Linked DNA regions of Oryctolagus cuniculus. The protein of the gene in region 1 purifies or fractionates together with the protein of each later gene. This does not show direct contact. Links are inferred from orthologs where the notes say so. Each region holds a gene or a part of one and is shown in the gene's direction. Other genes may lie near its edges.

What was found.
Region 2: the proteins of GAN (region 1) and NUDCD3 purify together in Homo sapiens (co-immunoprecipitation; 3 studies listed by BioGRID and IntAct, counting the BioPlex papers as one, with this or other methods). This does not show direct contact. The link is inferred for Oryctolagus cuniculus from reciprocal best matches to the Homo sapiens genes GAN and NUDCD3.

The regions. Positions count from the first base shown.
Region 1 is NC_091449.1:63,462,311-63,466,702, forward strand, and holds the start of GAN (gigaxonin), read left to right. Parts: upstream 1-1,330; 5' UTR 1,331-4,392. UniProt on the Homo sapiens protein: Probable cytoskeletal component that directly or indirectly plays an important role in neurofilament architecture.
Region 2 is NC_091447.1:51,876,753-51,881,208, reverse strand, and holds the start of NUDCD3 (nudC domain-containing protein 3), read left to right. Parts: upstream 1-1,489; 5' UTR 1,490-1,830; coding exon 1,831-2,022; intron 2,023-2,315; exon of another isoform or gene 2,316-2,335; intron 2,336-4,456.

The DNA.
Region 1 (4,392 bases):
CTTTTATTTGTATGCTCAATGTCCACACTGCCAGGCCCCATGAAACCCGTATTAGAGTCAGAGGAGACACACAGTCCCCAGCAAGCGTAGGTAACGAGGCAGTGATTCAATGTAATGAAGGATGAAGCAGGCCCAGGGCGGTCCTGTGCAGGAAGCCGAGTGAAGACCAGCTGGGAGAACGAGGAAAGAGGTGTCCAGGCTATGAAACGAGGCAGTGCAAAGGCCCTGAGGTGTGTGCGTGGCAGGCCTCTGCTCAAGGAAGAGCAAGAAGGCCAGTTTGATTGGCACACACTGAGAGGGGGGATGTGGCGGGCAATGAGGTCACAGATGAGACAGAGGTCACATTCCACAGGCCTTTGTAGGCCACAGTAAGGACTTTAGCTTTTTTTTTTTTTTCCTTGATTTTGATGGAGGGTTTTGAATGAGGAAGCAGCTTGACTTATTGCCTTATGGGGAGGAAGAATCCACAAGGGGGCAAGAGAAGAGCAGGGTAGGGTGAGAAGGCTGCTGCAGGAGTCGAATGGTGCTAGGTCAGGGGCTGTTGGTGGAGGCTTCTAGAAGCAGCTGCACACTGAGGAGGGCCTGCCTAGAAGCTGCAGGACTCGCTGAATGCGATGAAGGCTGCATGACCCCAGGTTCCTGTTCGTGGGGAAATGATGGCGCTCCCACTTGCCTGGGGAACGGTGAGATGCCAGGGATAGTCAGGAGTTGATTTCCTGGCGTCTGTGGACACGTGCCTGGGGATGCCAAGGGGCCGCCAGCTCAGCAGCTGGAGGGGACGCGGGGACGCGGGGACAGCAGCTCTGAGGTGCTCTCTGTGGAGAGAAGAGTCCTTCCTCCCTGTATGCGGCAGGTACTTACCGAGCCCCTACTGTGTGTGTCCGGCGTCGTGCTGGGTGCGGGGTCTGGACAGAGATGGTCACTCACTCCGTGGAGCATCGTGGCCAGTTAATTAGTGCACTGGTGCCCAAGACACCTCTCTGGCGACTGTAAACATACAGAGCCAACGTTGCAGGCACGGAGAGGTTCTCTGACTCAGCGATTTGGAAGCGCTTTGATTTTTCGGAAACAAAAGAACTATATTTAGATTTGGACACATGACAGACCTACCCAATAAAATGTCTGAGGACTACCTCAAGATGAATCAGAAGAGACGGTCTCGACCAAATTAATGTTTACGAAGAGTCAGGTTGGTGTCATGGAAAAGCTTACAGGGCTGGAAGGCAGAAGGGCTGCGCCTCGGTCTGCGTGGGCCCTGCTGGGCCGCGTGCGACCTTCACTCAGGTTTCACGCACATGGATGTTGGATTTGAGGTGAGAGTTCTGAAAAGTTTTTTATTTTTTTTAAATTTTTTTTATTTTTGACAGGCAGAGTGGACAGTGAGAGAGAGAGACAGAGAGAAAGGTCTTCCTTTTGCCGTTGGTTCACCCTCCAATGGCCGCCATGGCCAGCATGCTGCGGCCAGCGCACTGCGCTGATCTGAAGGCAGGAGCCAGGTGCTTCTCCTGGTCTCCCATGTGGGTGCAGGGCCCAAGCACTTGAGCCATCCTCCACTGCACTCCCGGGCCACAGCAGAGAGCTGGCCTGGAAGAGGGGCAACCGGGACAGAATCCGGTGCCCTGACCGGGACTAGAACCCGGTGTGCTGGCGCCGCAAGGCGGAGGATTAGCCTAGTGAGCCGCGGCGCCGGCCCAAAAGTTTTCAAACTGTGAGTTGTTCCCCTGCCGTTCAGTACTGCTTTTACTGGCCTCTCTCTCTTATTGTGAAAGTCCAAATCCCCAAGGGCATCCGTCTCTTGACTCGTTTTTCAAAGCAAGAGAACCTTCTTCTTTCTGCAAATGGAAATTGCTTTCTTGTTTTTTATTTTCCTGGTTGTAAAAAGGGCACATGGCTCATGCAGAAAATACAAATGGGGGAAAGTGCAAAGGTAGCAAAAGTCTCTAATACCACTCGCATGGTAGCGTCAGTGTCCCTGTGCCCGCAGCACGTCAGATGGCAGGTGTCTAAACACTTGTTGAGTGAGTGATTACTGTTGATCTCTTGCAAACATCCTTTTTGGTTCTCAGATAAAACAAAACCATTTATCTGAGACTGAAACTGCCAAGATGTTATCACATCTCTTAGATGACGTTGCACAATGGCACCTGATTTCTGACACCTATGGAATGTGGGGGAACAATAACATGATATTCCCCACTCTCTTGGCCATAATGTCAAGGGCGGCTTGGTTTGAGCAATATCAAGAAAGGCTTCAAAACAGTCCCAGGCTCCACGGGAGTGGCTCCTGCAGCAGTGGGAGGCCGGCTCTGCCTCCCAAATCCTCCCTCCCACACCTGGGCCCTCTTCCTTCCCCAGGGCACCTGAACCCAACTCAACACTTCCTACTGGCAAAGCAAGATGGCTCCCTGATTCCCTCTAAAATGAATTAAAGCCAGATGCTGTCTGCAGCCCATGCTTCTTCAGTCTCCAAATGGAATGTGTTAATACTGACAAACCTGACTGTTCACTCTGTTGAAGAACTGTCAAATCTGGTACCACTGGACTCTTACCCTACAGAGCCATCAGTTCCCCATAACCACCTCACCCCTATGGTCTGACACCCCAAATCCCGTTCTGCTTTGGTCATGTACCTGACTCCCACCCCTAGCTCATTATGTGACGCATTCAGGGTTCTCCCGTCAAGCACCAGTCACTGGGGACACGAGAGGACGCAGGAGCTTAGGGGAAGACTTTTAACCAACAAATGGTGGTGCGGTGTGGCAGGTGCAGCACACAGGCATGGACACAGCGCAGGGGAGCTGACTGCGGGGGTCGAGGCTGAGCTACAGGAAGAGTGAGTTCACCACGCGATGGAGGCGCAAACCATGCAAACCGCGGGGGTGGCAGAACTGTACAGGTGTCCTGCCCTCCGGCCCCCTCAGGCCAGCAACTCCTCCTGGCCTACACGGGTCTGTCCAGGAGCCTCCGGCCCGGTCCTCTCGTTGTTTCCTTCTGTCAATAACCGCAGGTCCACGTGTGCCCAGAGGAGGCTGACTAATCCCACCCTCCTCCAGTTACTTCAGCTAAGGCCGCCCTCCCACTCCAGGATGGCCGGCCATCTGACCCTGGTGGAAGACGTAGCACTCCACACTCAGCATTTTCTTTCTTTTTTTTTCTGGACAGGCAGAGTTAGAGAGAGAGAGAGAGAGAGAGGTCTTCCTTTACCGTTGGTTCAGCCCCCAAGAGGCTGCTATGGCCGGCACGCTGCGCCAATCCGAAGCCAGGAGTCAGGTGCTTCCTCCTGGTCTCCCATGAGGGTGCAGAGCCCAAGCACTTGGGCCATCCTCCACTGCCTTCCTGGGCCACAGCAGAGAGCTGGACTGGAAAAGGAGCAACTGGGACAGAACCCGGCGCCCCAACCGGGACTAGAACCCAGGTGCCAGCGCCACAGGCAGAGGATTAGCCTAGTGAGCCGCGGTGCCCTTTCTTTCTTTAAAGATTTATCTTTTTTTACTTGAGAGTCAGAGCTACACAGAGAGGAGTGGGGGGGGGAGGGAAAGAGAGAGGTTTTCCATCCGCTGGTTCACTCCCCAAATGGCCGCAACGGCTGGAACTGTGCCGATCCGAAGCCAGGAGCCAGGAGCTTCTTCTGGGTCTTCTGGGTCTCCCATGCAGATGCAGGGGCCCAAGGACTTGGGCCATCTTCTACTGCTTTCCCAGGCCATAGCAGAGAGCTGGATCAGAAGTGGAGCAGCCAGGACTCGAACCAGCGCCCATATGGGATGCCGGCACTTCAGGCCAGGGCGCCAGCCCCCGCAGTCATATTTTCAAGTAGCTACATTTTGCAGTGAACTTTCCCTGCCATATGTCGTTTTTGACTCTAATGACAATCCACTTGAGGAAAAAAAAACCACAAATAATGTGTATAACTGATTTAGAAAAAATTTATTAAGCGCCTATAGTCACAGTTCCCTCCATCTGACATTCAGTGAGCACCACTGTGTGCCCAGCACTGGGCTTGGCGCCGGCGAGTGGTGCCAAGAGACAATGAACATACAAGCTAGGAGGCGGCCTGCATAAAGTCATCGCAGCGAGTTTCCGGCCCGAGCAGCGTTCAAAGTACAGCAGCTCCTTGGAGAAAGGCGCGCCAACGGCTCCCGGAGTCGCTGGGCAGGAATCCCGGAGCAGACAGGCTCTGGGTGCTTGCCTTGTGCTTTATTTTTTATTATGTTTTTCGACATGCACAGTACTGAGAACAGAACCACCAACCTCCACACGCCCATCTCCCGGCCTCAACAGCAGGTCACCTCCGACCCCCGCTGCCCCTTGAAAGCAAAGCCTACACACTGTAATTTTTGCATCCATCAACCCCGAGCTGCGTGTGAGGAAGAACTGGGAACCTTCGGCTCTGCC
Region 2 (4,456 bases), on another chromosome or scaffold:
ATCTCAAAGTTATCCCGATAATGCTTCAGGGGCAGCCCAGTGTTCGCATCCTGCCCTGCCCCCTTCTACCTGATAACCTGCCAGGTGGGGGTCCCCGCCCCTTCTGCCTGACAAATCTTCCACAACCTCCCAGGTGCAGCCCAGTATCTGCATTTCAAACACCCTGCTCTGATCCCCATTCTCTAGGGGGTCCTGCTCACCCTTCCTCTGAACCCAGGACGGCACCAGCTAGGCTTCCTCCTGTCTGATACCTTCAGGGGAAAACCCAGATAGGAGTTTCTTAATATTTACAGCCATAAAATCCTTTGTTTCAGGAGGAAATGTGAGAAGACAGAGACCCATCTCCTTAAAAACCCCGCCTAAATGTAGACCGGGCACTCTCTCTCAGGTCCTGTCTGGAGAGGTGCCCATCGGTTCTTGCGGATGTCCCTACCCTAATAAACTTTGCTATTTTACCTCCCACTACTCTCTGTCTCACGCCCGAATTCTTTCTTGTGCGAAGACAAGAACCCTGCCATTTCTACGGTAACAGTTTCACTTGGTTTTCTTCTTCTTTTTAAAATTAATTAATTTATTTGAAAGGCAGAGTTCCAGAGAGGCAGAGGGAGGGAGGGAGGGAGGGAGGGAGAGAGAGAGAGACAGAGACAGAGAGAGAGGTCTTCCATCACTGGTTCACTCCCCAGTTGGCCGCAACGGCCAGAGCTGCACCCATCTGAAGCCAGGAGCCAGGAGCTTCTTCTGGGTCTCCCACGTGGGTGCAGGGGCCCAAGGACTTGGGCCTTCTACTGCTGCCCCAGGCCACAGCAGAGCTGCATGGGAAGTGGAGCAGCATGTGGGACGCTCGCACTGCAGACGGAGACTGCACCCGCTCCGCCACAGCGCCCGCCCTCGCCTGGTTTTCACTTGCACACACAGCGTCCTCGCGCAGCACGAGGCCGCGTTCCCTTTTCGTGCAGGTAACATCATTCGCATCCCTTGGAAAAGAAACCCCGGCTGGATCGTCTTGTGGGCGCCAGCAGCCTAACGACAGGGCGGCGTGTTCTCCAGCTCCCACTCCCTGAAAACCTGTGACCCAGCTCGAACGCACGCTCAGCCATCTCGCTGGATGTCTCCACACCTCTTGGATCTGCGTTCACTGCACATTTTTGTGAGTATCGTGTTTTCCGTTTTTAAGATACGCTTCGACAGACACGGGTGTATTTACGACGGATATGCGCATTAGCGTTCATCGTCGTCATTATTATTGTCTGACCAGTCCAGGCTGCTGGACCCCCACGCACCCGTGTTTTTCACACGACTGCACACTGGACTCCCTGCATGTGCGTGGACACACACGCTCGGCGTTTCTCTGCTTCTCAAGCTCCCCCACAGAAACCCACACAAACCACACGCACGCATTTGCCCTCGTTAAGAGCAGGGTCGCACGCTCCCAACAGCGGCTGGGGACACCCGGAGGGACGAGGCTTCCCGCACCACGTGACCAAACTCCCGCGATCACGTGACGCTGCCCTCGCCACGGCTCTTCCGCCCGCTTCAGACATGGCCGCCAGCCGGCCCTCGCACGGCTGCCACGGGCTTTCCTGCGCGTAGCAGCTTTGTCTGGTCCCAGACCCGGCTCTTTCGGAGAGCGCTGTCCTAGGAAAAGCGCGGCGGGATCTTCGGGACGTGGCGAGTGGGGGCCGCTCGGGGTCGCGGGGCAGATCGAGGGCGGACCGGAAGTTCCGCGGGTGAGCTGTCCGGGGGAGCGGTTGGGCGCGCGCCGGAAGTGGCGGTCGGCGGTCCGCGGGACCCGCGGTGTGCGCGTCCCTGGGTGGCGACAGCGACGGCGACATGGAGCCCGGGGCTGCGGAGCTGTACGACCAGGCCCTGCTGGGCATCCTGCAGCACGTGGGGAACGTGCAGGACTTCCTGCGCGTGCTGTTTGGCTTCCTCTACCGCAAGACTGACTTCTACCGCCTGCTGCGCCAGCCGTCGGACCGCATGGGCTTCCCGCCGGGGGCGGCGCAGGCCCTGGTGCTGCAGGTGAGGCGGCCACAGGTGTGGGCCGCGCCTCCCTCCCGTGGGCGCGGCTGCGCGGTGGGAGGGGCGGGAGCCGCGGGCGGGGCGGGGCGGGGCGGGGGTCGGGTGGTGGGGGGCGCCCCGCTGGCCGGGGGGTACCTGCGCGCTCGCCGGCCCAGGGCGGCCCTGGAGGGGCGGTTAGGGTCGCCTCCGGACTCGGGGTGCACGCCTCCCAGGCTGGGCTGGTCGCGAGTTGGGAGCGACCCGGCGAAGTTGGCACTTGCAGTAAGCGTGTACCGAGCGTGGTCCGCACCCGGCCGCCACGGGCGCGGCGAAGGTGGGCTTCAGGGGGCTCTGCAAGGCCGGCTGTGGGCCGGAACCAGCTGGGAGGGAAGAAAGAGAAATGGGGGCTGAGGGCTGGGCGCCTGGCGCGCCGCGTGAGGCCCGCATCCCGCATCACAGCCCTGGGGCTCGAGTCCCGGCCGTGTTGTCCACTCTGCCTTCGTGCTGTGGGCAGCCGTGCTCGCCGGGTACTCGGACCCTGCCACCCAGGTGCGAGACTGGATGGCGACCAGCCCCCCCTGGTCTTGGCCTGGCCCAGCTCTGGCTGTTGCCGGCGCTTGGGGGGCGGAGCAGTGGATGGCAAATCCCTATCTCTCTCTCTCTCCCTCTCTCTCTCTCCCTCCCTCCCTCCCTCCCTAACTTTGAAATGATCAGTAAACAAATTGACGATGGAGAGAAACCGAGGCTTTGTGGGCGAGGTGGGACTGGGTGAGGCTGGGGGTGAGTGCTGGCGCAGCGCTGAGCCTGTGTGTGGGAAGCTGGGAGGCAGACGTGCTGTCGGTGACCCCTGGCGCGGTGCTGTCCGAGTCGCTGTGCCAGGTGCCCCAGCCTCTCAGGTGCTGCTTCCCTCGGATCCGGCAGGAAGGAGCTTGCGGCTTAGAGCGTGTGAGGAGTGTGTGGTTGTGGCCCGCGCAGCGCAGGCCATTCCGCATCCTTACCCGTGGCCTGGTGCCGTGGCAGCCACCAGGAGCTGGCACAGCGGCTGCCGGGAGGACCGGGTGACAGTGTCGTGGTGGTCTCGCAGCTGGTCTTCCCAGGGCTCCCGTGGGATAGGTAAGGGTGAATTTGGTGCACCAGTTAAGCAGAGTTAAGCGCTCTGGCCAAGAACACACAGAGCTGGAACTGAACACTCTGCACTGTCGGGTGGCCGTTCCGCAGTGGGATGGCAGTAGCTTGCAGAGAGGTGTGGAGGAGGAAGGAACGTGAGTCTGCTGGGTCCGTGTTTCCACCGTGGAGTGTCACTCTAACTCTGCACGCCGGCAGAGGGTGGTCTTGATCCTTGGATCGGGGATGGATGCGTCCGTTTATCTGGTGACTATTGACGAAGCACCGAGTCTGGCCTGACACGCTCACTCAGTAGATTTGTCGGCCAGTGAGTGTCGTGGGGGCGCGGCAGCAGGGACCCAGGCAGGGGAGGGAAGAGTCGGGGGATCCGCAGTTGGAGGGACGAGTCTCCCCGTCTTTGTTCCAATATCTGGCTCCTGTGGGAGATAAGAATTCAAGACAGAGGCGAGGTTATTTAAAGGGAGAGAGTGAGTATACATTCAGGTATGAGTGTGGCGGCCCCTTGTCGAGAGGTGCTCACGAGGAGAGAGCGCGCGCGTGAGAAGGCTGGAAAAGGCCGCCCCACGTCCCGTGACCCCTTTTATGGGGTGGGATGGCCCCCTAAGTGAGTGTGCCCGTGTGCAGTGGGTGTGCTGTGGTGTGTGAGGGCGGGGAAGCCCCCTAAGTGAGTGTGCCCGTGTGCAGTGGGTGTGCTGTGGTGTGTGAGGGCGGGGAAGGCCCCTAAGTGAGTGTGCCCGTGTGCAGTGGGTGTGCTGTGGTGTGTGAGGGCGGGGAAGCCCCCTAAGTGAGTGTGCCCGTGTGCAGTGGGTGTGCTGTGGTGTGTGAGGGCGGGGATGGCCCCCTAAGTGAGTGTGCCCGTGTGCAGTGGGTGTGCTGTGGTGTGTGAGGGCGGGGAAGGCCCTAAGTGAGTGTGCCCGTGTGCAGTGGGTGTGCTGTGGTGTGTGAGGGCGGGGAAGGCCCCTAAGTGAGTGTGCCCGTGTGCAGTGGGTGTGCTGTGGTGTGTGAGGGCGGGGAAGGCCCCTAAGTGAGTGTGCCCGTGTGCAGTGGGTGTGCTGTGGTGTGTGAGGGCGGGGAAGGCCCCTAAGTGAGTGTGCCCGTGTGCAGTGGGTGTGCTGTGGTGTGTGAGGGCGGGGAAGGCCCCTAAGTGAGTGTGCCCGTGTGGCGTGGGTGCGCTGTGGTGTGTGAGGCCAGCCAGGGTTTCGTGGCAGGCGTCTCACGTGGGGTCTTCTGTATAGGAGGCCTGGGTGCATCATGGGGACGTGAGTACGCGGGGTTGGTGTGTGAGCTGCGGGGCTGGAGACAGAAATTGTAGACTACTTTCCAGCTCATT